Rattus norvegicus: one gene and its partners. The protein of the gene in region 1 interacts with the protein of each later gene in a pairwise test. Links are inferred from orthologs where the notes say so. Each region holds a gene or a part of one and is shown in the gene's direction. Other genes may lie near its edges. The genes, in order: Cpsf7, Snrnp25 and Smad3.

Region 1 (10,340 bases):
TGTTCCTAAATTAGGCAACACCTCCATCTAAACAGAAAACAGAGTAAGTATTCCAGATGTGTGTTAACCAGTCTTTCCAGAAATTACCACAGCAGAAACACTGTCTCCTCTTGCATTCCTTTAAAACTGTACAGCAGCACAGTTGTGCTCCATCCACTCACCTGTTAAATCCCGAGAATACCTACATCCCCTAAAGACTCCTGAAGTGAGAATTTTGTTTCTTTAAAAAAACACAGAAACATTATGGGAACATGTTTTCACTTTAATTCCAGATGTGGAATATGGGGCTGCTTCAGATTATCTAGAGCAGCTATGATTTCTCTAAGTGTATGATGCTTCAGATTCTGGAGACTTTTCAGAGGGTATTAAAGGCTAGAGCCCTAAGAGGCAGGGTTGGTTGCTGTTTGTTAAGTAGTCTGTGTGTAAAGAAGAAACAACAACAAGAAATTAGATACTCTGACTTCAAAGATCAAACTTGCCCAAGGAACTTGACACCCCTAATTGGTAGGAAGTAGTTTAGCAATAATGTCTCCCCCTTCCCCCTCTATCCTTTTTTCTCATATAAGCAATAGTTTTTCTAAATATAAACCAGAAATAAGGCCTAGGCTTCCTGGGTATGCAGGCAATGTGGCAAGGGCTACCATTGGAGTGATGAATGTAGATCCAAGAGAGAGACCAAGGCAACTTCTTATCATCAGATAACAGTTATGGGGGCCTGCCTCAAGACTCTGCAGCAAAAACTACAAGGTGTTTCACAGGGGCAGCCAAGAGTCACCAAGTTACAGAAAAAAAACCTATAGAATTAAATCAGTCTATATCCTATAAGGATGTGTTAACATCACAAAAGAGACCTACAAAAGTTGTGTGTTGAGGACAGGGGCTTGCTTATGTCTTCACAGAAATAAAAAGCTGTGGATACATCACAACTTAAAGTAAGCAGAAGAGGTCTCCTGAAAACTTTGGCCACTAATCTGAAAACACCTAATTCACTGAAAATGTCTCTGTTTATAATTTCTCGCTACACTTAGCATAATTAATGGCTTAAAACAAAGGGGGAAATGTAGTGATAATTTTGGTTTCTTTGAAAAACATAGAAATATTATGTGAGTGTGTTGTTTTAATCCCAGGTATGGGATATGGGATATGGGATATGCCCACAGCAGCTGACTATGATTTGCCTCATGCTCTACTAGGGATGTGATTTTGCCAGCTGCACATAGTTTCTGCGACTGTGTGACCTTTGGAATTTGGGGACTCTTCAGAGAATATGTATGTGCTAGGGCCTCAATAGGTGTGGTTGGCTGGCTGGTTGGTTGGTTGGTTGGTTGTCTTTGGTCATGGTTTATTAAGTAGTCATGCACAAAGAAGAAATGAGGAAGAAGAGGAAGGGGAAGGAGGAGGAGGAGGAGGAGAGAAGCAAAGGAGGAGGGGAAAGACAAATAGAAGAAGATATTCTGATGGTAAAGATCATATTTGCCCCAAGGAAGTTGACATCCCTAATCAGTAAGAAGTAGTCTAACAATGTCACCCCCTTCCCCCTATCTAGTGTTTTTATCCTTTTTTCTCTCCTATCTAGTTTCAGGGGATTGAAAGGGTAGAAGAAGAGGGGAGGAGACAGATGAGGGGGGAAGAGCCCGCAAAGTAGCAAAAGACAGCTTCAGACTCCAAACCTAAGGTTATAACTCTAAGACAATGAAAAGAACTAAGTGATGACTTCCTTGCCACCAAGTCCATCTAAGAAAGCACAGCATTGGAGAAAGTCAATAGCAATATTGTTTAACTGCATAAAGACTTTAGGGATCTTAGCCTTATGGTTAGGCTTAGAACAAGGAAATTATGAGGGAGGAGAGGAAGTATCTGTGCAACAGCGAGTGCTTTAGAAAGCACAAGCAAAGGGCAGTACTGACCAACAATTCGCAGATCCATTCCCTCGTGAGAAGTCTGGACAACAGGCTCCTGCTCCCCAGATTAGCTCAAAACCAGCTGCGCTGAAGCCAATAAGAAAGGCTATGGACTGCACATGCCACAGCCCTGTCTTCCCCCAAATCCCCAAAGAACAAGATGATGGGAGAAAGCCCCAGCACCAGGCCTCTACCTGAGAGGGAAAGGTAAGACTCCTGGAATATCATTCAAACAGCTTCTGCTCTGGCTGAATCTAAGTGCTACAGGAAAGGGCACGTTTCTGTAGCTGTAGCGAACAAAGGTGATGATTTGTACCACATCATTCACTTGCCATGGTCCCCATCCTGCCTTACTGAAGAATGAAAAAACCAAAACAAAAATCCCACAACTCCCAGCTTTTCCCTGGAGATACAGAGCTGGGGTATCCATCTAAAGCTCCAGCTTCTCAAAGGTTGCCTACGGTTTTTATCTCTCTCGTCTCAGAGCAACAACAGGCCATGGCACATTCCAGATGCCTAGGGACCATGGAGACCAAGGGAGTGTTTAGTTTTGATGCAAAGGACCAAGGCAGACAAAGTAAGATAAAATCTAGTATTGTTTAGGAGCCTCTTCCCCATGGTTCAAGAAAGAGTCAACTGTATGGTTAATGTTCTGGAACATGGGGGCTGGCATTGCCCAAGGGACTGGCTGGTTTCTATTTTGAACAACTTGCAACACTAACACAGCCAGCATATTCTAAGAAGTCCAGATAGCCACCAAGAATAAGAAAGCAGAGCAACCAGCTGGGGCATGGTGCCTCATGCCTGTAATCCAAGCACTTGTGAGGCAAGAGCAGGACTACTATGAAGCTGAGGGGCTACAGTACCTGATAAACAGGGGAGCAGGAAGGAGGGAGGCAACACTGAACAACCCGAGTGTTTACAAAGAAACTGTAGCATCACATTGGCACTAGGGAGTTATTGATTATGAACTGATAGAGGAAGGTAAAGGGGCTTGCTGCCAAGCCTAGGGAGCCAAGTTCTATCCCCAGAACACAGACAGACACATATGCATGCACTGTCTTTTTAGACAAACAAAATAATGACTGAAACATCCAAAATTGGGAAAAAAGAAGTGGACATTCAAATTCAAGAAGCCCCCCCAAAAAAAACAGTATCACAAACCTAAGAAGTCCAGACTGACTAAGACATAAATTGTCTAGTAAGTCAGAAATGTGAAGGTACAAATAAAGCCACATGAGGGCACAATGGAAAAGTGGCTATCTGCAAGTCATGGAGTGAGACCACCAGAGAAAACGGTGCTAGCATCTTTGTCCTGGAATTCTGGCCTCCATAACTTTGAGAATATAAATTTCTATTGTAAGGCAGCTCCAGTAAATGAATACAGTATGCTGTAAAAATGCAGTCTCCTAAGCCACACACAGCCTAAGCATTCTGGACCAGCATCTCTAAGAAAAGGCACTTGAAAATGTACTTTTACAACATCTTTATGTGTGCAAGATAGGTGCATGTGGAGAGGTGAGAGGAACACCTCAGGTGCCAGTTCTTGCTTTCCACCTTGCTTTGAGACAGTCTCTTTGTTGTTCTTGTTGTGTGTGCCAGCCTAGCTGGCCTATGAACTTCCAGGGATTCTCTGGTCTCAAGCTCCCTTCTGATCATACTAGCATATGGGCAGGCCCTGAACCAGCTAAAGAACCAAGGATGACCTTAAACTTCCCATCCTCCCGCCACCAACATCAGAGTGCTAGAATTATAGGCACGCATGCCATACATTCTGTGGTATGTGATGCTAGAGATCAAACCCAGGGCTTTCATTCATGATAGGTGTTGTGTAGCAATTTCCTCCAAGATAAAATCCTCCTCCTCCCCCTCCTCTTTTTTTTTCTCCCCCTCCTCTTCCTTTTTCCTCTCCTCCTCCTCCTCCTTCTTATAAAGCCCTAGCTGACCTAGAACTTGACATCTAGATCAGGCTGGTCTTGAACTCAGAGACCCTCCTGCCTTATTCTACTATACCCAGCCAATACATAGGATGCTCTAAAGAACGGTAATAAATATATTCCGTCCTACAGGAATGCTCCTTAAGCTCAGGAAGCAAACAACTTAAAGGCTTCAGAAAGCCTCTGAAACTATACAAGGCCAGCCCCCACTCTTCCTATCCCCCTCCCCCACTCTAGGGCACCTAGCACCCTCTTTAGCTTCAGTGGTACCTGTACACACACACTTAAAACCACCTGTAACTCCAATTCCAGAAAACCCAACACCCTCATCTGGCCTTCATGGCCACCTACACACACGGGCATAACTCACAAAGGCACATAAACATAAATACATATTTTTTAAACTTAAAAAAAATGAATAAAGAAAGAAAATGAAATTGCCTAGCATGCAAGGCTCTGGGTTTGGCATTTAGCACCAACAACAAAATTGTCATATGAGATAAAGAATATTATATATATTAAAGAGTTAGCAAGAAAGAATGAAAATCATAAATACATGTGGACCTAATAGAGCACTCAAATATATGAAAGAGACCCTGACAGAACTGAAGGGGGTGAAAACAAAGATTTTAATGCCACAATTTAATAAGGAATAGAACATCCAGATGGGGGAATCAATATTAGACAACCAGAACAATACTAATTTAAGTATATCTAGCTGAGGTATACAGACATTCCACACAAGAGAGCATACATTCCTCTCAAATGTACGGATGAATATGCCCAGGAGCTCACATGTCGATAAGTTTAAGATAAACCATATCAACTAGCTTTCAACACTACTGGAATAAAACCTGAAAATTCTCAAACATACAGACATTTAAGATCAGGATGAGACAGAATGGCGAGCTTCAGGCCAGCCTGAGTAACAAATTAAAACCGGCTTTTAAAAAAGGGAGACGGGGGTTGGGGATTTAGCTCAGTGGTAGAGCGCTTACCTAGGAAGCGCAAGACCCTGGGTTCGGTCCCCAGCTCCGAAAAAAAGAACCAAAAAAAAAAAAAAAAAAAAAAAAAAAAAAGGAGGCTTTCGGGGGAGGTTCGGTAACTCTTCCTGGAGACATAAGTGAGATATGCCTTGAGTCTCGTATGGTAACTGGCCACTTAACTACATAGTATCCAGTATTCTCACTCGAACACACCGTGGGCTAAGTAACCAATGGAAAATGACCTGCATGCTCAGCGGCAGTATGCGCCTCGCCTTGAGGGGACCTTTCCCTGGTTCTGTGGGATGGGTGAATTCTCCCTACAGTCTTCACGGCACAGAGGAGGACGAAACAGTCCTAGCTGCCGCCCGCCCCGAACCCTAAATCTTCGGCTCTCTCACCCGCGCCAGCGTCGGGATCAAGGTGACCACCGCCATTTCTCCCTATAGTACAGGAAGCTAGCAACCGACCCTCTTCCGGGAACTCCGGGCGGCCGATCTAAGGACTTCACCCGTGGAGGTGGACCCCAAGCCGGAAGGCGCGTCCCAGCGTATGGCGGAAGTAGTGGTGCGTGTGACGCCGCCGGTAGGGGGGGCGGGACCTGGGGCGGAGAGCGGTTCGCGCGCTTCGGGCCTAGTCGGGACTCTCCGCGGCCGCCGCCATATTCCCGGTAACGGGGGCGCGCGGCCGGGGGCCGGCGGGGCCGGAAGGAGGGCCGGGGCTGGCGCCGCGGAGGGGAGGGGGTCGGTTGGGGTGGCGGCGGCGGAAGACGGCGGGTGGAGGGAAGCGCGGGCCTCTGAGGGAGGGGCTGAGATCCTGGAGCTGTGGGAGGGAGCAGGGCAGGCCTAGCCGAGAGCGAGGACCGGGCCGGGTTGGAGTGGAGGCGGCGGGAGCTTCCGGGCCCGCAGGGGGCTCCGGCTTGGGACGCCCCCTGGGTCTAGCAGGTGCGACGGGCTGAGCTTGCGGCGTTGGTCGCAGTGGTTCTTCACAGCGCGGCCCGAGGGCCCTCTCAAGAGTCGAGGCCTGCCTGGACTTGGCAGTGGCGCCATAGGCAGCTACGGGCGCCGACTCGGCGCATCTCCGGTCGGGCCCGCGGGTGATGGGCAGCGAGCCCCGCGAGCCCGAGCGGCCTGGGAGAGCAGGGGGCGGCGCGAGGCTGGGGGCGGGGCGGAGCGGGTGGGGCCAGGCTCGGGGCTGCCGGGATGCTGCCTCTCGGGAGACTAGAGGTTGTTGACCCTTGCCCTCCTCCCAGCCTGGGACCCTTGTGTCTTAAAATTTTTTACCCTTTTCTGAATACCGTAGTGGCATCTTTCTTACTTTGTCCGTTCTCCGGGCTCGAGAGCGTGTTTCCGGAGCCATGTCAGAAGGAGTGGATTTGATTGATATATACGCTGATGAAGAGTTCAATCAGGTGAGAGGAATTAGCAGCAGTTTTGGGTTTTCTTCGGTCAAATCTACTGACAGTGGTTTCTCTCTCACCACAAAATAATTCCTTTTAGTATCGAAGCGTTTCCCCCTAGCGGAGACTTTGAAGACGACTGACCATTCCTCTTTATGTTAATTTGAACCTCCAGGCTTCAATTTTAAAGGGTTTGCTTTAAGAGCAAATAAAAACCCAAGTGTAATAGAATGGTGAATCAGCCTGTGGAATTGTTTCCCCAAGTCATTCCAAAGTTGGATGAGTAACCATAATTAAAAATGAAAATTACATTTGTTGCAGTATTGCGGGGATAATTTTGATACTTGTTACTTTGCAGTTCTTTCAGCTTGCGGCTCCAGCATGTTAGTCCCTCCCCCTTCTTGTCCCCTCCCAATGGTATAGACAGTACGAGAGATAACTTTGAAAGACGGTATATCAACTGCGTTAAAGATGGGAGTTCTAGCTCCACTCCAGGTGTTTTCAATCTTTTTAAATCGCTTGACTGAGAATTCTGTGGGCATTTTGGTATGGATGGGAAGGAAGGTAAAAACCATTGGATAAAACTAGTTTAAAGGCAAGTCAAAGATTTGGTCATCCTAGTTTGAATTTGTGTTTTTACATTTTAAATGTCACCTTAAAAAGTAATCTATGAGGTTGAGTTCTTTGATCTTGAGGTCAAAGCTCAACGAAAAGTTTCTATTTAAAACTTTTATCTTTTTTAAATTTTAGTTATATTTTTTGTTGGATTTTTTAAATTTACATTTCAAATGTTATCCCCTTTCCCAGTTTCCTGTCCATAAACCACCTATCCCATCCCCCTTCTCCCTTCTTCTGTGAGGGTGTTCCCTCACCCACCCACCCCTTCCCGCCTCCCTGACATTCCCCTACACTGGGAATGTGGACTCTTTGGGTAGTGATTTAGTCCCTGGGAATTCTGATTGGTTGTTAATGTTCTTATGGGGTGCAAGCTCCTTCAATCCTTCCTCTAATTCCTCCATATCTCAGTTCAGTGGTTGGCTATGAGGATCCTCCTCTGTATTTGTCATGTTCTGGCAGAGCTTCTCAGGAGACAGCTATATCAGGCTCCTGTCAGCATGCACTTCTTGGCATCAGCAATATTGTCTGGGTTGGTGGCTGTATGTATATGGACTGGATCCCCAGGTGGGGCAGGCTCTGAATGGCCATTCCTTCAGTCTCTGCTCCAAACTTTGTCTCCATATCCACTCCTATGAATATTTTTGTTCCCCCTTCTAAGGACTGAAACATCCACACTTTGGTGGTACTTCTTCTTGAGCTCCATGTGGTCTGTGGATTGTATCTTGGGTATTCTGAGCTTTTGGGCTAATATCCACTTATTAGTGCATACCATTAAAACTTTTTTCTTACCTGGGTTCTTTTTAGTACTGTTATTCTTAAGCTAGCTGGTTCTGGTGTATTCCAAAGGGTACACATAAGGACCTGGAAAGAATGGTCTAGACTGCCTAGATTATAGCCTGACTTTGGTAGGCAACAAAAGAAGCTCATATGTCCCATTATTTTATTTTAAATTTTGTGGATGTGAGTGGTTTGCAGGTACCCAAGGAGCCTAGTAGTATGGGGTTCCCTGGAGCTGGTGTTACAAGTAGTTGTGAACTACCTGATGTGGATTCTAGTAACCAGACTCAAGTCCTCTGGACCAACAGAAAGTGTTCTTAACTATTGAGCCCTCTCTCTAGTCTGGCTTTTCTGGGTTTTATGTGTTTGTGTGAGTCAGTCTTTTATCATTTGAAATTTATGGCTTCTTCTTTAACAAGACTCTCTTAGTTCTGTATTACTGAAAGATACCCCCAATTCTAAATATATGTTGTTGACTGGTACTGCAACTAATTCACTTTGGAGAATAGACAGTCGTTGACACATTGGCCATATTTGATATAAAGAAAAAGTAATAAATGGTTTATAAATTAGGGGTCATAGACAAGACGTTCTTGTCCAGTGGTCACTGCTTTGTCAAGATACACATTATTACCCTCAGTAATTTGTTCATTAATTAACTTTTTTATAAAAGGATTTTCTAATCTAAAGCCAAAATTAATGTGTAGACATTTATACCAAGCAGGCAATGTTAATATGGGAAAAAAATGAAGCAAATACAGATTGAATATTTTACATTCTAAAAGTTGAAAAAGGGGTACCCTATCCTCATAAGTTAATTTTTGACAAAGCTGGTTTTAGTGTAATCTGGAAGCTGCTAAATTGTTTAAAAGTCTGAGTAGAGTTGTTAAACATTGGCTTAGATAGAAGTTAACCTGTATGAATTGAGTTTTTGAATGCCTTAAAGGACAGTTACTGGTTTGTTCTGAGCAAGCATATAACTCCCTCAAGAGTACTTTTGTCCCCAAGGAAAATTAGTACATTTACTATGTGGAACCCTGTGGTATTTGCTTCTGAACCCTGGCAGCATGTGCTGCAAAAACCTTTTGCATAGTTATTTTATTGCTGTTATATTGGGAGCCATGGGATTCATACTGTTCAGTTAGACAAGGGCAAACTAAAAGGGTGAGTGAGAACTGCTACTCACCTGAATTTTCTGTTTGTTCCTTCTCATGCTAAGATGGGCTTTATGAATATTCCTGTCAGGGAGGATTTGAACTACTCCTGTAGGATTAATACTGCCAGAGGTGGTGAGGTGTTGGGAGAGAGTGAATCCCTGTGCTGGAAAATAGGTGCCATTTGTGGTGGTTAAAAGTAAAAGTGATGTTAGCTGGGTATGGTGATACATCCCCATAATCCCAGTGCCCTGGAGACTGGGCAGGACTGCTACAAGTTAGAGGCCAGCTTGGCTACAATATCAAACTGTCAGAAAACACACAACAACAGACAGTAACAGTGCAGAATAATGGGCAACTGTGATGGAGGAGAAGGTATTGAGAGCTGTGAAGATGTGAGTATGAGGCCTAAAATTGATGTGGCCTTTTACAAATCAAAGAAAAGGTAACCAACAGTCACGATGGTTTTACTGAGAAAACTATATCCAAGTTAGTTACTTCCTTGGGTCATATACTGAGAAGGAGCTATGAGGTAGGGACATTGAACCTATTGGAGGGCAAAATCAAATTCCTACTAGGAAGTTTCATGATATAACGTAGTTTTCTGTGTGTATCCTTGACAACAAAATTCTTACTGAACTATTTATTCAATATTGAATACATATTTTCATTTTAAACTTAACAAAAATTTTAGCATTGCCACCTATAAAATATGGGTGTGTATTTGATTTTTGCTTCTTTTGTGGGATAGGTGGGGTTTGGGTCTTTTGTTTGTTGTTCTTTAATCTTTTTCTATAGTCCCGTCAGGTAAGACAAGGTTCCTTTCTGTAGCCCTGGTTATCTTGGAACTCACTGTAAAGTAGGCTGGCCTCGAACTCAAGAGATCTGCCTGCCTTTGCCTCCTAAGTACTGGTATTATGCCACCATGTCCAGCTACTGCTAGTTTTTTAGGTTCCATGGCTTGGATGGACCATTGAAACTTTGAACATTCAAATTCATTGGATTTTCTTTTTGAGTGGTAATCTACAAAGAGCCCACTGATTGCCTTTAAGCTAACAGTGTAAAAAGGTTCCTACTGATGTGTTTGCTCCCTAAGTTGAAGTCTTCATACTGGTTCACTGACCCTTTTATTTATTTATTTATTTATTTATTTATTTATTTATTTATTTATTTTAACTAGCCAGTTCTCAGTGATGACTTTTGCCTTATAACTCTCAGATACATTTTTGAATCACAGATACTGCATAAAAGGAATCTTAGTTTGCCAACTTTGAGTATATAAAATATTGTTATTTCCTTATTGCCTTTAAGTTTCATTTGAAATTTTTTTCCTCTTTAAAAGCCTTGGTGGGAGGTATAAAGTCTAGTTATCCTTAATATCCTTAGGGGATTGGTCTCAGAATCTTTCTCTGTGACAAAATCTTCAAGTCTATTTTTAAAAAAATGTTAGTGAGCCTGAAGGTATAGTCCTGTACCCCAGCTGTAAAGCAAAAATTATCACCAGTTCAAGGCAAGTCTTGATAACTTAGCCAAACCCTATCTCAAATTTTATTTAAAAAGAAAAAAGGCTC
Region 2 (10,254 bases), on another chromosome or scaffold:
CCACAAGGGTTAGACTGGAAGGAAGAAAACCCGGGAAAAAAAGGCACAGAAGGAAGCCCCTATTTCTAAATGACTGAATGTCCCTGAACTAGAAGTGTGCAAGCCAGCTCCCAGCAGCCCAGCCAGGGCCACACAGCCCTAGAGAGACTCCCGCTGCTTCCACTTCAAGGACAAAGCCAGGCATGGTGACGCACACCTTTAATTCAGCATTCAATAGGCAGAGGGAGGATGAGCTCTGTGAGTTCGAGACCAGCCTGGTGTACGTGGTGAGTTCTAGGACAGCCAGAGTTAAATGTACTGATACCTTAACTCATAGTCATACACATATATGTATAGCTAAGTCTTCTATTTATTTTGAAAATTATGAATGATTAACGTTATTGAGACTGTAGATTCTGCTCTGTTTCTCTGAAGACTGGTGGTTTTTGTTTCTGTTTCTGTTTTTGAGACAGGATCTCTATACTCCATATAAATCTTTTCACACACATACATTATATCCACATACACATATATAATCACAGGCAGGTGTGGCAGCACACACCTGCAATCCCAGGGCTCTAAAACTGAAGCAAGAGGGTGACAAGTTCCAAGCCATCCCGGGTCACCCATCTTAAAAAACAAAGCAAGGGTCTGAGGCTGTCGCTTCGCTGCTGAGTCTTGGCCAGCATGCCTGAGGCCCTGCTGCAATCCTTGGCGCCATATAACACAGACGTGGGCCACGCTTACAGCCCCAGAACTCAGGAGGCAGGAGCGAGCTTCAGGTCAGCCCAGGGTAGAGATCCTGTCTCAAAAACACAGAAACAAAAATCACCATCCTCCAGAGAAATAAAGCAGAATCTAGAGTCTCGGAAATATCAGTCATTCCTAATTTTCAAGATAAAAGCAAGATTATTAGATATAGAAAAGAAGAAAAAAGAGTCGAACATTTGTTGATGAATGCCTTTAATCCCACGGCTTGGAAGACAGAAGCAGACAGATCCCTGTGAATTCGAGGCCAGCCTGGTCTACAGAGTGAGCTCCAGGACTGCCAACGCTACAGAGAAACCCTGTAGTCCTGCATGAGGAGCCAGAGTCAGGAGGCTCACAGATGCATTATTATAATTCTCCTCCACATAGTGACCAGCCCGGGCTACATGAGACCCTGTCCCAAAAATCAGAAAGAAGGAAACGGCTGAGACGATAAGAGGAATCTATCATACTCAAAGCACTAACTGCAACAGATCTTCGTGTTGTAAACCCTCAGAGTCCTGATGTAAACCTTCCTCGAGGCCTGCACTCTGTGTTATTTTTACTAATTATTACTATTGTCGGTAGTTTGTTGCTTCTTGACACCTCAGTATGTAGAATGAGCAAAGCCGTCTGGGCTCTCAGTTCGTTGGCCGAGTGGATGTGCATCTCTGTGCAGTTTCCCATGGTTCAGCACCTAATACACAATGGGGGTTTCATGTCAGAGAGGTGATACGTCCTTCTGGATCACCCAGTGGCCCCTGAGGGACAGAGCCAATAGAACACATTCATAGTCAATGGGGTTACAGAGTGAGAATTTTGGCTTTTTAAAAACACAGAAGTAGGGGTTGGGGATTTAGCTCAGTGGTAGAGCACTTGCCTAGCAAGCGCAAGGCCCTGGGTTCGGTCCCCAGCTCCGAAAAAAAGAAAAGAAAAAAAAAAACAAAACAAAACACAGAAGTACGGGCTGGAGAGATGGCTCAGCAGTTAAGAGTACTGCCTGCCCTTCAGAGGTCCTGAGTTCAATTCCCAGCACCCACACAACCATCTATAGTGAGATCTTGGGCCCTCTTCTGGCATACAGGTGTACATGCATTAAATTAAATAAATTAATACATTAAATACATTGAATTATCTCATACATTAATTTTTTTAATCTAAAAAAAAAAAGACCCCAGAAGGCGTGGGGGAGGGGCTACTTCAGATTCTCCAGCAGCTGATGGTGATTTGCCTCCTACTCAGACAGGGGCTGTGGCTTTGCCAGCTGCAGATGGTTTCTGCGAGTGTGTGACATCTGGAATTCTGGGGACTTTTCAGAGGGTTTATAAATGCCAGGGCCCTGGTAGAGGGAATTCTGGTTGGCTGGTTTGTGGTTTTATGCTGTTGGTCACGTTCTGTTGCAGTTTGTCAAGTAGTTATGTGCGAAGAGAGAAAAAGGAGAAAGTGGATGTCCTGATGAGGAAGATCAAACTTGCCCCCAAAGAACTGGAAGCCCCTAGTCAGCAGGACGTAATCTAACAATATCGACAAGAAAAATGTCACAGACAAGAGATAAATCATGCTTACTTAGGCCCACATTAATCTATACCTTAGATTTTCTGTTTATTTTGTTTTGAGACAGGGTTTCCCCCAGGTAACCCTGCTCCTCTTACTTTCTTCTTTATCTCTGCTTGTGGACTTTAAACCATTTCTCCTGCCTCAGTCTCCCCAAGTGCTAGGATTAGAGGCACACAACAGGTTTGGCACGGGAGTTAGAGTTAGAGTTTTAAATAGGGTAACTATCATTGAGAGAGAGAGAGAGAGAGAGAGAGAGAGAGAGAGAGAGAGAGAGAGAGAGAGGAAGAAGAAGAAGGAGGAGGGAGGAGGAAGAGGGGGAGTGAGATGGGGGAGAGAAGGGAAGGGAGTGGCGGGAGGGAGAGGAGGAGGGGAAGGAGAAGAAGGGGGAAGGGGAAGGAGGCAGCACTGGCTGCTGCTCTTCCAGAGGACCCAGTTCAATTCCTAGTATTCACAAGATGGTTCACAAGTGTCCATAACTCCAGTTCTGGGGTATCTGACACCCCCTTTTGACCTCTGGGACTATTGCACACCCATCATGCCCAGAAGGAATACATGCAGATAAAACACCCATACACAGAAGATTTAAAAAGTGAGACAAGTGGCTAAAGTAGCTATCCAGGGAAACGTGACGGGGGCAAAACAAAAGCCCTCAGTGCTGACTCCACAGCGTCCTCATAACAACAGTTGTTGCAGTGACTGGTGGTGTAAAAAGAGCAATAGGAAGAACACGAGGACTGTAGATCATGGCACCTCCGCCCTGGACAGCTCCAAGGACCACAGGTCCCGCCTAGATTTTTTTTTTGTTTTGTTTTTGTTTTTAGACCGGGTTTCTCTGTAGCCCCGGCTTTCCTATACAGACCTAGCTCTCGACTCAGATAGAGATCCACCTGCCTCTGCTTCTGCCTCTGCCTCCTGACTGCCAAGATTAAAGGTGAGCGCCACCACGCCAAGGCTCCACCTCACTTTTTATTCTTATTATCTTTTTGTTTTGTTTTTGAGACAGGGTTTCTCTGTATAGCCCTGGCTGTTCTGGAACTCACTTTGTAGACAAGGCTGGCCTCGAACTCAGAGATCCACCTGCCTCTGCCTCCCAAGCGCTGGGATTAAAGGCGTGTGCCACCACTCTCTGGCGACTCCACCATGACCGGCTTCCTAAGGTGGACCTTTCAAGCCACTTTTTGGAATGGAGCCGGAGGTAGAATCTCGGTCGATTGCGACCTGGCTGGCAAAGGCAGCGCCCAGGCTGCAGGAGGCGCCCACCTCCCAGCGTCACTTTGTAGAGTGATGCTGTACACGGGCACGGGTGTCTTGCGCAAAACGGGGTCCGGGCATCTTGTGCGAAACGATAGCAGTGCTGGCCTTCCTTAACGACCATTCCGTAGAGAAGAGCAGTCTGGCCATAGCTCAACCCCGGAGGACCATAGCTCAACCCCGGAGGACCAGACTGCTCGTAGCTCCTCGGCCGCTCGCACCGTGCAACGTGACCTACTCTATCCGGCCAATAACCTGCTGTCTGCTGGCTCCCCTTCCCTGAACTCGCACATTTCATTGGTTACGGAAGCCACGCAGTGAACCAATGGCTGAGCTATCTCGTCTGGGCGGAGCACAGTTACTGCGCACGCGCCTTTTGCCTTCCTACCTAGAAGGCAAGGCCGCCTGGAGGAGCGCCGGAAAAGCAACAGACTGGCGGCCCTGGAGAATCCGGAGACTGAGGTTCGACCAGAGGTGCCTGAGGACGACGAGGATGACGAGGAGACATTGCCCCATTCCGAGGCTGTGGACGTGTTCCAAGAAGGTCTCGCTATGGTGGTGCAAGACCCGCTGCTCTGCGACCTTCCGATCCAGGTGCACAACCGGGCTCGGGGGTGTGGACGGGCACTGGTGGTCCCGCCAGCGAAAGACGCTTCTGCGCGTAAGCGTAAAGCTTAGGGTGAGGAACCCCAAAACACTCCCTCTTAGCCGTGAAGTTTGAATTAAACAAACACTAAGATTTTAACTCAATTATCAGTGAGTGTGACTAGCCTTTAACTTGCCTGAAACTTTTTTTTTTCCTCTTTTCTTTTTTTTTCGGAGCTGGGGACCGACCCCAGGGCCTTGCGCTTGCTAGGCAAGCGCTCTACCACTGAGCTAAATCCCCAACCCTTGCCTGAAACTTCTAATATGCGTGGCTTAGTAGTTATTTAATGTAATTTTTAACCTTGCCAATCAATGGTGTCCTTATTTAGCGTCTCTGTGCTCACAGAACTAGGGGCCAAACCTAGAGCCTTTCGAATGCTAAATAAATACTCTACCACTGAGTTACACAACTTTATTTGTACTTCCCTCGGTGTTTTATTAAAACATCTCTTGAACTGGCTGGACCTTTAATCTCAGCCCAAGAGGCCGAAACAAGGGGATCTCTGTGCGTTTGAGGTCAGCCCGATCCATTTAGAGCTCCAGACCAGCCAAGGTAACCTAGTGGGTCCCTGCCTCAAAACAAAAAGCGTTTTTGTTATCACAAGGTTTTGGTAGTTGGTCAGTTGCGCCCTGCCCTGCCTCAACATGGTCCTGAGGCACAGGCTGGAGCCTCTTGACACAGTACTCTCAGAATCGCTGGGCCCAGTGTTAGTTGAAACTCCTAACACACAGTAGGCAAGCTTGGTTTCCTTTGTTGATGGGGTGTTAAACGAATTGGCATATTCACCTCCCTAGGTTACTTTAGAAGAGGTCAACTCCCAGATCGCACTGGAATATGGCCAGGCGATGACTGTCCGTGTGTGCAAGATGGATGGAGAGGTAATGCGTAAGTACCAGTGTCTTAGTCACTTTCTTTTGCTAGAAAGAGACACTGTGATCAAGGGAACTTATAAAAGAAAATGCTGTCCCCACAGCTTATGGTCGCAGAGAGCTGCAGTCCTAACCGTCACGGCAGAGGGCATGGCAGCAGGCAGACAGCAGGCAGGCAAACGTGGTCCTGGAGCAGTAACTCAAGAGTTTACATCCTGATCCATAGGCATGGGACAGAAGGAGAGTTAATTGCAGTGGTGTGGGCTTCTGAAACCTCAAAGCTTACCCCCAGTGACACACCTCCCCCAACAAGGTCACACCTCCCCTAACAAGACCACGCCCCCAACAATGCCACGCCTCCTAACCCTTCCCAAACAGTTCCACTGGAAAGCAAACATTCAAATATTTGAGTCTGTGGGGGTCATTCTCATTCAAGCCACAACCATACTTCTCTCTTTGAGCCTGGGCTTTCACATCAGCAAGGAATTAGACGAGAGCTAGTCAGTGAGAAACTCAGACCATGTCTGGGTGTGCGTGTGCTGGGACAGTCACCCTGACCAACAGAGCAGAGCCCTGGATTTCTCTTCCATCACCCGGGGCTCTGTGTGTGGCCACCCACATGGATGTTCTCCCATGTTTCCATGGTTACAGCTGTGGTCGTTGTACAGAATGCCACAGTCCTGGACCTGAAGAAGGCTATCCAGAGATACGTGCAGCTCAAGCAGGAGAGGGAAGGAGGTGTTCAGCACATAAGCTGGTGAGTGGGGCAGAAATGCCTTCCCTGTGCCCACTCCTGGGCTTGCAAGGGCACTCTGTAAGGAGACAACTTTCAGCTTTTCATGTGTGTACCACCCAGTGCCCCACTACCAATGATGCGGTGACAGTCCCATATCACGAGAGCTTTCTCATGTCAAAGTGGGGTGATTATGTCTGAGAGTCCTGCCCCAGTGGTCCCTTCACAACATGCCCTTTCACTGACATGGCCCTACCCATGGATAGTGTCACTTGGAGATACCTGACACTCTTTTTTTTTTTTTTTTAAGATTTATTTATTATATATAAGTACACTGTAACTGTCTTCAGACACACCAGAAGAGGGTGTCATATCCCATTACAGATGGTTGTGAGCCACCATGTGGTTGCTGGGTGAACTCAGGACCTCTGGAAGAGCGGTCAGTGCTCTTAACCACTGAGCCATCTCTCCAGCCCGACACCTGACACCTTAATGTCTCCCTAGTTAACAGATGGTATATACCTACCTGTCAGCGGCCCCCTTCCCTCCTCACCAGGGTGCTGTTGGCTCTGACTATTCTATCAGATCAAGTATCCCATTATCTGAAATCCCTCAGTATAGTCTGTCACCTTTTTGTTAGTAAGATGTGTCCGGCGCCTTCTGCAACTGCCTTGGGCCTATGTCATGCAGGGAAAGTGTCCAGAAGGAGAATGTAGTTATCCCAATGCCCTGGGCTATGTGCTGCCAGCCTCTGTCATCCCAGCCGCTCAGTCTACCCACCCAGAGGATTGGGGGGTGGCACATGCATCACCTACGTCCTTCTTGCAGGTCCTATGTGTGGCGGACGTACCATCTGACCTCAGCTGGGGAGAAGCTCACAGAGGACAGGAAGAAGCTCAGAGAGTAAGTCTGTAGGTCTGTGGGATGGTGCCCTGTGCCCCAGCAAATTGCAGTGGTAAGAGGGTCCCTGGCTGGATTGACTGTCCTGTGGGCATTTCCTTGAGACCTCCCATGAAATTCGGGGCAGAGAAACAGCCCTGCTGTTCTCACAGCAGCTGGTGTTGGGGGTGGAAGAACAATATGGCTGCCCTTACTCGATTATTCCTGATCCCTCCTAAGCCCAGGTGAGCCTTCTGGAGGTCAGCCACTACCCTTCCGTCTTTTTCCAGCTATGGCATCCGGAACCGAGATGAGGTTTCCTTTATCAAGAAGCTTAGGCAAAAGTGAACACCAGACACATGGAGCTGACCTTCCCCAGCAAGATGGCGCCCTTTGCTTGTCCTCAGGGGAAAGGGTGTTGGTGTAGCTGCATCCCTGGAGTGCCCAGGTGGAATGTGGGAAATTCCTCTGCCCTTTATTTCCCTTTGAACTTGGCCCGAGGGTCCTATGTGGTTGTGGGCCTGGACTACAGAATAAATATGTTTGCTTTGTATCTTGTAAAAACCAGAAAGCCGTAGTATCTGTGTGGGTGAGCTGGATCTGTCCCATACCAGAGGGAGGTGAGGGCAGAGGTGGCTGGTACTGGGGAGCAGTAAAGTCTCAGGGGCTGCACCTAAGCCCTGGGACCGCACTGCTCACCTCTCTCACTACGGCCTCTCAGCAAGGAGGAAATATACATCGAGCAGCTGTTTCTGCTGCGGGGAAACGGGAGCCTGCAACCCCAGGGCCTGTGGTGACGGTGGCCGCAAACCTCCACCCGCAGGTTCCCGATAGCAGTTTTTCTCCCAGCCTCCGTGGAAAGAGACAGCATGACAAGGAATGAGTTACAGGGGTAGAAGATGCTCCCCACTGTGGGGACACAGCAGGACACCCCAAGATCCATGTTCCAACACTGGCTACCAGCCATCCTACGAGACCTCACAGAGAGGTGAGAGCCAGTGATGTCTTCGACTTAGAACACTGGTTCTCAACCTTCCAAACACTGCGGCCCTTTAATTCAGTTCCTCATGTTGCAGTGACTGCCCCCCAACCCATGAAGTTATTTTGTTGCTACTTCATAACTAATTTTGCTACTCTCTTGAATCGGAACATAAATATTCAGAGATAGAAGTTTGCCAGAGGGGTCATGCCCCACAGGTTGAGAACCACTGACTTGTCGAACTGTATGTCCAAGGCCATCCCCCATGACCCCAGCCAGAGATCAGGAAAGAGTGGCAACCCCGGTCACGTTAGTGGCAGCTAAAACGCTCCCAGTCCATTTATTGACCACCTGAGGTGGTTGTCAAGGGGGGTGGGGGGAGTAGTTAGAAGGTTATCATGGGGACTCGGATGATAATGTCCAGCAGTGTGAGGGTTCAACGGGAGCTCGAGGCACGAGAGGTCAGTGTTCAGGAAGCACCCGTCTGTTCGGCCACAGGAGGCCGGGGTGGCCTGGGGTGTCCACCGCTGGTTCAATGGAGCTGAGCATCCAGCTCGTACTTCTCACAGAACTTGTCTGTGAAGGGGATGCAGGTGAGGAACTCACACCATTCACAGCGCACTGGGTAGAAATAGAAGAGGACCACCAGGCCGGCCAGCAGGCCCAGGAAGACGGCCTGGAAGATGATGATCTGGCAACGCTTGCGGTACAGGTCGAACTTGCCAAAGCTGATGTAAGGCAGGAAGGCAAAGGAAAGGAAGAGGCCGCTGACGAAACCTGAGATGTGGGCGAAGTTGTCGATCCAGGGCAGCAGCCCAAAGGCAAAGAGGAAGAGCACCACGGCCAGGAGCTTGAAGAAGGCACGCCAGGGTCGGGCCAGGATCTGCCAGCTCTGGAATAGCTCCACAAAGAGACAGGCCAGGATACCAAACTGGGAGCCGGCCGGACCTACCTGATGTTGGGGGATGGGAGCCGTAAGCCACTGAGGCTGCACCAGCCCACCCCCACTGCAGAAGCTCATCTTCCTATCCCACCTCTCAGAGTGTACTTGATCTCCGACACAGATGGGGCCATGCTAGACACAGGCACACCTATAGAGGGTCCCCACCCTGAGAAGCATCTTACCTCTGCCCGGTACGGCAGAAAGATGGCGCTGGCTAGATTGCCCGTGACACCGCTCAGCAGGTAGATGATGGCTATGCGGTGCCAGCCTGCCAGCTTCTCCAGGTCCCGCAGGACCGTCATCTGGAAGCAGACGGACACCAAACAGTGCAGGATCCTGTGGGCAGTGAGGGGCACTCAGCAGAGAAGGCGGCTTCCCTTTTGCCTCCAGTCCCACTACTCCTAGGGCATGAGACCACCAGCCCAGCCCCCAGTCCCACTTGCCCAGCGTGCAGGAAGAGGGACAGCCACAGGCGGTAGAACTGGTCAGGCACCTCGGGATTGAGGAAAGGCAGGAGGCCACAGACATCGTCCATGCAGTGCACCTGTGCAGAGGGGCTGGTCAGCCTCCACAGTGGGCGGGGGCGGAGAGGGGCGTGCCCTCAAGGCCTACCTGAGAGCAGAGTGTGGCCTCCTCATGGAAGTAGCCCTTCATGAAGTCACAGTACTCCCGGGAGGTGATCTCACACCTAGAGGGTCACGCCAGGGTTTGGAGGGCGCCCAGCCTGGCAGATGGAGGCTGCTGAGGTCTACGGACGCCTGCCCACTACTCGGGAGGATCTCAGACCCACCCGCCTCCACTGGCCCAGTCTTACTCCTTGTGACTGGGAATCGGGTTATGTCGGGCTTTTATGAGGGAGAAAAGTGCTGCTCTGAGCCAGCTACACGGGAGCACCCACCTGCCCTTGGTGCCGATGCAGCAGGGCCTGCCCGTTATGACACAGTCCATGTGAGGGTGGTTAGTGTGGTTCCCCGCGCTGTTTTTGGTGCAGATCTGGGTAAGAAAGAAAAACAAGAGCCAGGGTCACTTCACACACTCACACACAGAGAGAGAGAGAGAGAGAGAGAGAGAGAGAGAGAGAGAGAGGGGCGGGGGAGGGGAAGGGCACGCCTTTTGGCCTAACCCTTATTGGGAACCGAGACAAAGGTAAGACTCAGATAGAAACCAGGCCTCCGTTGAGTCAAGTAGGTCACACCCAGAGCCCGGGCTGAGCCTTCTGCAAACCAGAATAACGCTCTTTGACCTCTCGTGCCTTCACCTAGTTCCCTTGCCCTGACTCCTTGCTCACAGAGGCAAGCCTTGCCCGACAGGCTGGGCAGAGGCTAGGGCAGTGTGAAGATGCGGGTGTGCCCTCCCCCATTCAGCAATTCGAAGACCCCAGCTCACCGGCCACTTGGTGATATCTTCTGGCCACTCGTGGGGATCCTCAGAGGAAGGCTCATCACACACCCTGCACGAGCCCAAATGGTTAGAGTCTTTGTCCTCAATGATGCCACCCTCCTCACCCAAACAACGAATCCTCTACACCAATGCCACGGGCATTGTAAGAGGGGAATTAGGAGCACTCACCTGGGGTCCTGGTGGCAGACAGAACCAAACTGCCTCTTGTTGCCTGCCAGGTCGGGAGCACTAGGATGAACCGGCCACTTCACCCACACTGCCAACGTAGAC
Region 3 (10,342 bases), on another chromosome or scaffold:
GGTCCCTCAGCTCCAGGCAGATACCTCCTGCTTTCTGTGTCTACAAATGTGAACCGCATGGTGTTAGTCATTTTGTGATTAGCTTATTGCACTTGGCATAGAGTTTGCCAGGCCTCTCTCTGTCACAGCACAAATCGGTACGTCTTTTTAAAGCTGGGTACTATTCCACTGTGCATGCAGACCACGCTGTCACTCACAGTCGTTGGTAGGGTTTCCAGCTTTGGGTACTGTGAAATAATGTTGCTATGGATACTGGTGCACACATACTATCTTCGGACTCCTGCTTTCATTGTGTGTGTGTGTGTGTGTGTGTGTGTGTGTGTGTGTGTGGCCAGAAGTGGAATTGTTGGGTCCTATAGTAATTCTACATTTAATTGTTTTGGGTAATTATTATACCATTCTCCACAAAGGCAACACTTTTTTTTTTATTTTAATATTCTTCATGGCAATGGGCACATGGTCCAATTCCTTCATAGTCAAACCGTCTCATTTTCCGCTTTAAAAAAAAAAAAAAAAGAGCCCAATAGGTGTGTAGCAGTTTGCTGTGTGTTATCTTTATATATTACATACATAGCATTGTACTACTAATTTATTGATTTTACTTGGGACAGTGGCTTTATTTAAAGTGAAAATTACATTTACTTATTTGTGCATGTGCACTCCTTTATGGGAGGCAGATGTGTGCCATAGCCTGCATGTGGAGGTCAGAGGGTTCTCAGCTGGACGTGGAGCTCCATGTTGAACCCAGGTTTTTTTGGGTTCTAGGAGGGCCACCTTGGGCACAGACTACAAAAATCTGCTAGAAAAGGCCTGCAGACCGAGGTCCTCTAATGACAATCCCAGCCCTGCGTGTCTACCTGCCTTTACCAGGCGTCACCCCTCTGTGTGGGATGTGAGCAGAACCCTTTCTTTCTCAATTCACCACCTGATGATTAAATATCGTAACTCTGGCCAGGTGTGACTGCTCATTTCTTTGCACGATTCCTCTGGGAACCACACCTCACACACTTTAGCACGTGGTATCTTAGGCTCTGACCTGACTGTGTTCTCTATTCCTAGGGAGACACAGCTGCCTCCACCCACGATCCTGAACTTTGCTCTCACCAGGATGAAAAATTAACCGGACTCATGTTTCCCTCCCAAGGACAAGGACAAAGTCTGTACAGCAGGTCTGGCTGGGTCCTAGGAGACCAGGTGCCAGCTGAAGTTCTAACCAATCCTGAGCCACCTACCTATTCACTGCCCAATGTAGAGGGGTCTATTCCTCCCCCATGGGAAACTGGCCCTGTGATGACACTTTCAGTTTTCTTGCAAGCCAGTGGTCCTTATTCCATGGATGCTGACATGGGAGGGGAGGTTCAGAAGTCTTTCAGTCACACCAGTGGGTCTGCCCGGTTATTTCCTCCCCTAAGGGAAATGAAGGGGTGGATGGTGGTCCCTTCTGGTTCTCAATGATGTAAAGGTTCTTCCAAGCTACTGACTCTGCTCCTCCCTTCTCTCCTCAGGGTCCCTCCTTTCCTCTGTGGTACATACAGCTTCCCTCAGACATGGCTTCACCTGTGGGTGAGGTCTTGTCCTGGAGAACAATCTAAGTGTTTCTAATATTCTTTCCAGATTCACCATGCTGTACAGGTAAGAGACTAGAGGCTCAGCAACGTGGAGGACCTGGGCACCTCAGACTCCACCTTGTTGCCTTACTTGGTTTTAGGTTCAGGTTAGAAATATTTTTTGTTGTTGATTTTCTTTTTCTCTTCTCTCTCTTTTTTTTCTCTCTCTTTTTTTAAAATGTTATTTATTTATATGAGTACACTGTAGCTGTCTTCAGACACACCAGAAGAGGGCATCGGTTCCCATTACAGATGGTTATGAACCACCATGTGGTTGCTGGGAACTGAACTCAGGACCTCTGGAGGAGCAGTCAGTGCTCTTAGGTATCTCTGCATAGCTCTGGCTGTCCTGGAACTCACTTTGTAGATGGGATTGGCCTTGAACTCAGAGAACTGCCTGCCTCTGCCTCCCAAGTGCTGGGATTAAAGGTGTGCCACCACTGCCTGGCTAACATTTACTTTTTACTGGAAGATGATTACATAGGCCCCTTTCTGTTCTTCTCTGACCACCTAGCACACCTTCATCCCTGTCCCTTGGTGCTTCTCTGGCTGTGGACTCCTCATGGTTAAGGCTCTTCCTTGTTCACTGCAAATTTCTCAACAAGCAGCATACTTGTGGCTGGAGAAGTGCTGGAGAAGCAGGATTTGAACCATCTCTCCCGGCTATCCTTATTCAGGAATGGGATCAACACTGGTCTCCACTCCTGTCTTGTACTGGACTTCTGCAAAGTCCCGACACCTAGGAGGCAGAGAGCAAAGGGCTATCGTAGTTATGATGCGCCTGTGAGGAAAGCTTTTGCTTTGCAAATTGGGTCATAGCCCCTATACAGCTCTAGGGCCAGTTGGAAGACCTCAAAACCAAACCCAAACAAAAACCTGGGTTTAAATCCTGGCTCTGACCCTTGGGGCTGTGTCTCCCAGGACTTTAAAGGCAGTAGTTGGTGTATCTGTGTGAACATAGCAATTAAGACTGCCCACTTTAATGCCAGTATTTGGAGGCAGAGACAGGCAGATCTGAGACCAGCTTTACAGCACAAGTTCCAGGACAGCTAGAGATACAGTGAAACCCTGTCTTGAAAAAAAAACAAAACAAAACAAAACAAAACAAAGACCTCCTTCCTTATAGTCTCTAGCATCGAGTGGGAAGCTACAGCCACCATCTAATTGGTTTGCAAGGACCGGCCTATCTACTGAGCCTCAGGGGTCTTCCTTTCAGAACTCGGTATCAGGGAGGTGGGAGGAGAAAAACCACAACCCCTGACAAGCTGCGGCTGGCGGTTGGTGGTGGGGCAGCCTCAGGGACAGAGCAGGGGGCCCCTGAAGCTTCTGGGCTGACTTTGTGGGACTGGCCACACTTCATAGGGCTTTGTAACTCGCACCGGATCTTGGTTTGCAAATAACTTGTTTCTCACCACGGGAGGGGTGTGTGTGTGTGTGTGTGTGTGTGTTCGTGCGTGCGTGTGCAAAAACAAGCATAGTCTTTAGGAGCTGAGGGCCTGCTGTAACACCTCAAATCAGTAGAGGGACCGGTGGGTAACCAGCCCTGCATTCGCCCAGTCTGCGGTAAAGCCCTAGAGCTACCCCAAGTCAGGTTCTCTTGGCTTCCCACCTAGGCTAACTTTGAATAAACTTCCTAAGTCCTCCAGGCTTGCTCTATACTTTGTGTGTGTGCTCGCGCGCGCGAGTTCACTGATTTGTAAACAAAAGCTCTCTTACTTGTTTGGTGTTGAATTTCGGATCTTCAGTAACACCCTGTAATGTTAATTCTCCCCCTCCCCCAAAGAAAAATCCTAAAGCGCCCGCATTCATTCCTTCAGGAACGCAACAGATGTCTTTGAGGCTCCTTTTCTGTAAAGAGCTTGGTTCACTGGTCCCAAAGGACCCCTGGCTCCAGCTATTGTTCAAGTTGTCACTGAGGTCTCGTAACTCCCCTTTTAAGTCTCCCTCTCCCGTTTTCCAACTCCCTCCTCAGTAGTCTCAGGCAGTCAGCCGTTCTGATCTCACCCAGCAGGAAAACAAAAACAAAACAAAAAACACCTAAAGCAGCCCCGGCCACTGAGCGAGATCAGCGCGCCTCAACTTCCTGGGCCCCGAGCTTTTTCTGAACCCCTCGCCGCGCCCGGGTCCTCTCCCAGGTGCAGCCAGCCCTTGGCGGACCGTGCCTGTTCCCTGCGAGTCTAATCCTCTCTAGTCCTTGCAACTACATCTGAACGTCTTGGGGGCAGCGAGTCCCCAGGAGTCGGGTCCCGCGGCACTTGGCAGAGCTGACGGCCGCCGTGCCCGGTGGCCCACGTGGGCGCGCTTGGCGGAGCTGGGCGGGGAAGGCCGCGGGTCCTCCCCGGAGCAGGGCGCGGGGGAGGAGCGGGGAGCCCCGGCAGCGAGGGGGCGGCGACTGCGTTGGGAAGGAGGCTGCACGCGGAGCTGCGTGAAACGTAGACTTGGGAGCGGGCGGGAGAGGAGCGGGGAGCACGGCTGCACGGCCCTGGCCGGTCCTGCAAGGCGGCGATCGCAGGGGGAGGAGCAGCAGCGCTGCAGAGGCGGAGGGATCTGCGCACCAAAGCCATCCAGGCCAGCAAAGTTTGGCTGGGGGTTGGACTTTCCTTCTCGGAGGCGGCACCCAAACAGCTACCCCGTGCGGAAACCCAAACTTTCTACTGGCACTCGGAGTCTCGCGGCCGCCGCCTCCGCCCCGCGCGTCCCGGGCCTGTCCGTCAGTCCGTCGGTCCGCGTGGAGCCGCTCGGGCGCCGCCGTGTTCCGGATCCCCGCAACTGCAGTGCCGCTATCCTGGCCGGGACGCCTGGGCAAGTTCTCCAGAGTTAAAAGCGAAGTTCGGGCGCGGCGCAGGCCGAGCTGCCTCTGTGCGCCCCCGGCGTCCCCAGTGCGTCCAGCCCCGCCGGGGGCGCCGGTGACCCTTCCGTGCCAGCCATGTCGTCCATCCTGCCCTTCACCCCCCCGATCGTGAAGCGCCTGCTGGGCTGGAAGAAGGGCGAGCAGAACGGGCAGGAGGAGAAGTGGTGCGAGAAGGCGGTCAAGAGCTTGGTGAAGAAGCTCAAGAAGACGGGGCAGTTGGACGAGCTGGAGAAGGCCATCACCACGCAGAACGTGAACACCAAGTGCATTACCATCCCCAGGTGGGGTCCCAGAGCGGCGAGGGGTGGGGGGACGCGCCGGCCCAGCCCCCTAGCGCGGCCCGGTTGGATAAGGAGGGAGGGTGGGAGGGTGTGTGTGTGTGTGTGTGTGTGTGTGTGTGTGTGTGTGTGTGTGTGTGTGTGTTGGATAAGGAGGGAGGGTGGGAGGGTGTGTGTGTGTGTGTGTGTGTGTGTGTGTGTGTGTGTGTGTGTGTGTATGTGTGTGTGTTCGCGCGCGCCTGTAGGGGACGGAGAGTGGGTGGAGGGACCCCAAACAAAACCTTCGGATTTGTCCAGGCTCAGAGCCCAGGCTTCCGTGCGGCATTTTGGCTTCTAGACCTTAACGATCGCCAGCTGCCTCTGGGCAGCGGGGATGCTTCTGAGCTTGGCCCCCTAACTCTCGGGGCTTCGGGCTCCAAGTGGAGGCCCCGCTTTGTTCGGCTCTGCCGGCCGAGCCCCTCCTCCTCCGCCGCCTCCCGCCCCGGGCTCCTGGAGGTGGTGGCGTGTGTCCCTTTCTTTTCTTCAGCTCTGTTCCCCCATTTCTTTTCCTCGTCTACAGGAATGCAGTCGGTACAGCTGTGGGTGAGGAGCGGGAGCCCGTTGATTGACAGATTCCTTCTTCGCTCTTTCTTTGCCTTGGGATTAGCATTTTTACTGAGTATTTTTAGATTTGGTTGTGCCAGCCTCCCGCCCCCTGTGCACGCATGCACGCACGCACTTAGTTAGAGAGCAGAGCACCGACTTTGAAGCGGGAGAAACAAGTGGCAGAAAGTAGGGGCTTTCCCTCTTCCCACCCCACCCCTGCTGGTTTGCGATCTTTTAAATCCAGGGTATTCTGGTGCCTAGAATCGAGCAGGCAGCTCCAGGCAGATAACAAAACACCCTAGGGCTGGCCTCCCATCGGCCCTGCATTCCTGTAGAGCCTCTTTTCCCAAAGCGCTTTGCCATCTGTCCTGACCTCCTTTATCCTTCCCATCGGGCTAGAGGAGTCGGGCGGGAGCTCACAGATGGCTGATGGAAGGGGTCAGTGACTTCGCTCCCAAGGCCTTCTAGAGCATAGTCGCGTCTGGGCAATGGGGTGAGAGCACTTTAGTCTTCTGGTTTTGTTTTGTTTTTTCCTTCTCAGACACCTTTAAAGACTGATTCCAGATGAGGGGCAGGTGGGAATGTTTGGGGACGTCCCTGGCTGCAGAGGGATGGGGGGAGGGCTCCCAGGACCTACACTAGTAGAGGTCATCACTGTTCTGGGTCCTGGTAGCTTCCATCCTTGGCCACCTGCTCAAGGCAGCTGTGTATGGGCTGCCAGCCCTGATAGTAAGGCACAAAACAATGTCTGTCCACAGGGACCTAGGGTTGGCCTTCCTTGGAAATAAACACCACATATGGTGGGAATGCCGACTTAAAAAAAAAAAAAGAAACCAAACAAAAATAAAAGTCTTATCAACTCCAAACCTGAGTGGGTGGATCCTACTGAAGAGGGAAGGCTGTGTGTTGTCTGCTCGGCCTCTGAGCCTCTGCCAGCCGGCTTCAGGGGACCTGGTGTGATGTGGTGGTTTTCTCCGGTTTCCCCTTCTCCTTTATCGTTTCGATGGAGCAGGATGGTTGAGTTTCATAGGGCTCTGTCAGATCTGGAGACGCAGCCTTTTCCCAATCTGCCTGGGTGCACCCAGCCCAAGCGCTTTCTGTTCTGAGCCCTCCTCCAGAGCTATCAACTACGAAGCTGCAGAGTGTTTCACAATTTACAAGGCACGAACGTGCCTGGAGGACAACAGAACCGGGACACAGAAAAGGCACGGAGGTCTAGAACGATCTTGCTTTCAAAGTGACAGAACTTAGAGAGGCAAAGCATTCGACTAGATCTGGCGTACCCTTTCTCCCAGGTTGTTTTGTCCGGGGTGGGTAGTAGATCTCTTCTGCCTGCAAGGCTCTTGGTTAATCTTTGGGCTGGGGGCAGCTTGGAGGAGAGGCTGTGCCTTCCTCACCGGCAGGTAAAAGTTAGTGTGGTACTGAGAGTTCAGGCTAATGCCTGTGCTCCCAGCCTCCTAGGACTGGGTACCTTCAGCCTGGGCCTAGGAGGCCAGGTAAGGAAGCGGGGTGTTCATTCGTTGGCTCTTTGGCTGCAACCGATGACCGAACCCAGGGCTTCCTGCATGTTAGGCAAGCCCTCTGCTGCTGACCTACCCTCCCAGGCCTGGGATTCTTTTCTTTCATCTTTTCTCAACTAGTGAGACCCAGTTGCTTGGGTGGATCCAGACAAAGGTGGATTTCCATCCCTGGATTTTGTGCCCACGCCTCTGGGTCACCCTGTCTCCCTTGGCAACAGCTGCTGCTGTTTTGGCCATGGGCAGAAAGCTAAAGGCCACGTCTTGGGGAGGCGACTAGTTGGCTTCCTGCTGGTGCGATCCCTGTGTCTGCTAAGCCCAGGGCTTGTGTGTTGCTTGTCACATTGCTGCCTTTGAGAACTAGGGCTTTGGAAAGCAGACAAAGGAAAGTGTGTGACTTAGTCACCCGCTTCGTGTGGGGCGGGACACTGGGTGCCTTAGTACATTCTGTCAAATCTGGAGCTGGTCTTTGAGGACTCTCTGTCTGAGATGTGAAACAGACATCTTGAGCAGCAGTGGCACCTTTTGGCTATGGTAGCTATCTGCCCCATGCTGGCTTCTTTTTCCCAGCTTTAGGCACATTCAGTGACCAGGGGAACTGGAGTGATACAGGCTTGCTTCCCTTCACAGAGAGGCGGTGTGGGAGTTTCGCTTTACTCCACAGAGCAGTGAGCGGGGCATCTCAGATCTGGCAGGGGTGGGGCAGAGCCATGCCAACAGCCCACTCCCCCCTGCTTGAGCATCTGAGAGGAGACACAGGTGTCTCCCTCTCCAGTTCCTAAAGGAAAGCTGAAGCACCCGCCTTTGAGAGAGACAGGTCAGCGCAGCGGTTAGCCTTCACTGGATCAAGCAGAAGGTCTCTCTGGTTTAGAAGGGATCTTGGTTACAGAGCACCAAGTCCAGAGGGAAAATCAAGAGGTGAAGTAGGTTTTACAGGAAGCACTCCTCCCTCCTTTGTTCACTCCCTTTGTAGTATGACCTCCTCCTGGGGCCTCCAGGGACTTTGTTAGACTACCCTCAACTAGTGGAGAGAGGAAAAGTATCTTTACTTGTAATAGCTTCTGGGGACAGAAATACCAAGGCTGTAGATAATGCCTGATAGGTCTCAGGCCAATCACCGTGGTGTAAACCGTTGGCAACAAGCCTCCTCTTAGCATGTAACCCATCACGACGGAGGTGAGGGTTGGGGGATGGGGAGAGTGTGTGTGTGTGTGTGTGTGTGTGTGTGTGTGTGTAGGCGCTGCAGAACAGCAGATAGCTGACTAGAGGGCTGACCAGAGTCAGTAGTCTCTGGTTGCAGGAACTTTGACCTTTGCTGCTTGGTCCCAGGGCAGAATGTTTGCATCCATATTTTCTGCAGACAGCCTTTTACTCTCAGTTTCTAATCAGGGAATATAGGACTGTTTCTTGTGTACTCAGTGATATTACCCAGACTCATGAGATATGGTCTCTGCCCCGGTGTTATTCGCCCTAGAGAGGGATGCAGAGATATGTTTGAGAAGATGGGGGGTTTTGGAGGTTGGCAGTGCTGTGGGGAAGGTGAGTGTGATACGTGCTTTACCGTGAAGCACAGCAGCAGAATAGCAAACAGTGGCAGCCACCTGCTTTCTCTGGGGAAGATAAATCCTACCCAAGCCCTGGAGTTCAGGTCCCTGCCTGGATTTAAAATCATCTGTACTGTATCACTGTGCTGATTGATTGATTGATTGACTGTGTGCACGTGTGGCTCCAGGAGTGTTTGCAGATGTACTGGGGAGATTGTTTGTACGTGTGTGTGTGTGTGTGTGTGTGTGTGTGTGTGTGTGTGTGTGTGTGTGTTTGCCCTGTGTCCTCGTTCATCACTTTGATGGTGGGACTTATTCACTTATCAAGTGCTTGCTGAGCTGGCAGGAGCTGGGCACCCGCTCTCAAGGAACTCAGCACCAGGACAGAGGTGGAACAGTGCTCTGGGTGGGACCAGCATGTGTGTGTGGGAGGTTGGTGTGTGCTGGATACCTGGTTGGGGTGATGGTCGGAGGAGTTTGGACTGTATGGAGCTCCTGGGAACTTGGCCTTTGGTTTATTACTATTAGTGTATGTTCATTGTACAAACCAGACTTCTTCGTGACATTTTAGAGTCTTGTATTTTGCTCATACTTACCGCCCCTTACACCCTGCTCTCTCATCCGGTGCTGGTTTCCTTATAGTCCCTCTTCTAGTTTCATGTCTTACACATATTTTTAAAAACTCTAGATTCTGCATATGTCAAAAGGCGCACTATGTCTCAATGTGATTTTTGCTTAACATTGTCATCCCCAGTTCTACCCATTCTCCTTGAAACATTTCCCCCACCCTCTGTGCGTGCGTGCGTGCGTGCGTGCGTGCGTGTGTGTGTGTGTGTGTGTGCCTGTCTGTCTGTCTGTCTGTCTGTCTGTCTGCGTGTTATGTGTCTGTGTTTGTGTGAGCGTGTGCTTGTTCGTGTGTTGGGACCTGAGGACAGTTGTCTTGCATGACACTTTTATCTGCTGGGCTTTTGCCAAGCACACAGCTGCTGTGACTCTCTTACCTGTCACTTGCACAGAAGGGCCTATGAGCTGAGTGCTGTCTAGGACCCAACTCTAAAGTGTTTTCTCTTTGAAGTAAAGGGCAACTTAGCGTGGTGACAAACCTGAAATTCAGGTTTTCTCAGTGGGAGCAGGAACTCTAGCAGGGGCCTGTGGGCGCTCACCTTAACTTTTGGTATGACTTGGCTTTTCATGTCTCTCATGACATGCTGGGGGAAAAATTCCATTAACCCCAGTTTCTGAAAAGACATTAGAACCTTTACTAGGTTCTTTTAGAAGTCTTTGCAAGGACGTAAACACTTTAAAGTGCTTTGTTTATTTATGTGCATGTGTGTATATGCATGTGAGTGCAATGTTCACAGGGATCAGAAGGGAAGTCACCCCCAGATAGAGTGACAGTCAGTTGTGAGACATCCCACCTGCTGCTGGAGTCTGATCCCCATCTTCTGTTAGAGCAACATGCGCTCTTAATGGCCTAGCTATCTTTCTACCATCTCAAAAAGTTATTTTTACTTTGTTTGTGAGTGAGGGTACATGCGTACCATAGCTTATATGTTAAGGTCAGATGATGACTTCTGAGAGTTCGTTCTCTCTACTGTGAATTACAGGCATTGAACTTGGGCCATCAGGTACATGGTAAGAGAGTTTACCTGCTGAAACATCTTGAAGGTCCTGGACATAAACATTTAAATGACCATTTTAATGACAGAAAAAAAATGGATGAGTGGAATCATCGTTTAGTTTTGATGAGACTTGCAAGAGGTTGATGACAATGGAGAGAATTAGGTTTGAGCTTATCACATCAGGACTCTAATTAAAATGAGTTTTTGAAAAATAAATATTGGTTTAATAATGCAAACTTGCAATTGCTGCTGTATTATAATGGAAATAAAATTAACAGAATTTGATGGACTGAATGACTATTAATTTCCACCCATTAATTTATTAGGCGAATTTAATG

The links.
Region 2: the proteins of Cpsf7 (region 1) and Snrnp25 interact in binary tests that used the Homo sapiens proteins (3 or more experiments, as listed by UniProt). The two-hybrid records come from large-scale screens. The link is inferred for Rattus norvegicus from reciprocal best matches to the Homo sapiens genes CPSF7 and SNRNP25.
Region 3: the proteins of Cpsf7 (region 1) and Smad3 interact in binary tests that used the Homo sapiens proteins (3 or more experiments, as listed by UniProt). The two-hybrid records come from large-scale screens. The link is inferred for Rattus norvegicus from reciprocal best matches to the Homo sapiens genes CPSF7 and SMAD3.

What each region holds. Positions count from the first base shown.
Region 1 is NC_086019.1:216,587,361-216,597,700, forward strand, and holds the start of Cpsf7 (cleavage and polyadenylation specificity factor subunit 7), read left to right. Parts: upstream 1-5,429; 5' UTR 5,430-5,491; exon of another isoform or gene 5,492-5,517; intron 5,518-5,627; exon of another isoform or gene 5,628-5,765; intron 5,766-6,098; exon of another isoform or gene 6,099-6,123; 5' UTR 6,124-6,178; coding exon 6,179-6,232; intron 6,233-10,340. Other genes in the region: Sdhaf2 (succinate dehydrogenase assembly factor 2, mitochondrial precursor), read right to left, coding at 5,223-5,258.
Region 2 is NC_086028.1:15,921,906-15,932,159, reverse strand, and holds Snrnp25 (U11/U12 small nuclear ribonucleoprotein 25 kDa protein), read left to right. Parts: upstream 1-3,907; 5' UTR 3,908-4,086; coding exon 4,087-4,128; intron 4,129-4,974; coding exon 4,975-5,065; intron 5,066-5,153; coding exon of another isoform or gene 5,154-5,378; exon of another isoform or gene 5,379-5,700; coding exon 5,701-5,806; intron 5,807-6,610; coding exon 6,611-6,685; intron 6,686-6,951; coding exon 6,952-7,009; 3' UTR 7,010-7,228; downstream 7,229-10,254. Other genes in the region: Rhbdf1 (inactive rhomboid protein 1), read right to left, coding at 8,173-8,592, 8,766-8,919, 9,027-9,127, 9,196-9,271, 9,482-9,576, 9,970-10,033, 10,153-10,253.
Region 3 is NC_086026.1:73,126,314-73,136,655, reverse strand, and holds the start of Smad3 (mothers against decapentaplegic homolog 3), read left to right. Parts: upstream 1-4,331; 5' UTR 4,332-4,533; coding exon 4,534-4,739; intron 4,740-10,342. UniProt on the Homo sapiens protein: Receptor-regulated SMAD (R-SMAD) that is an intracellular signal transducer and transcriptional modulator activated by TGF-beta (transforming growth factor) and activin type 1 receptor kinases.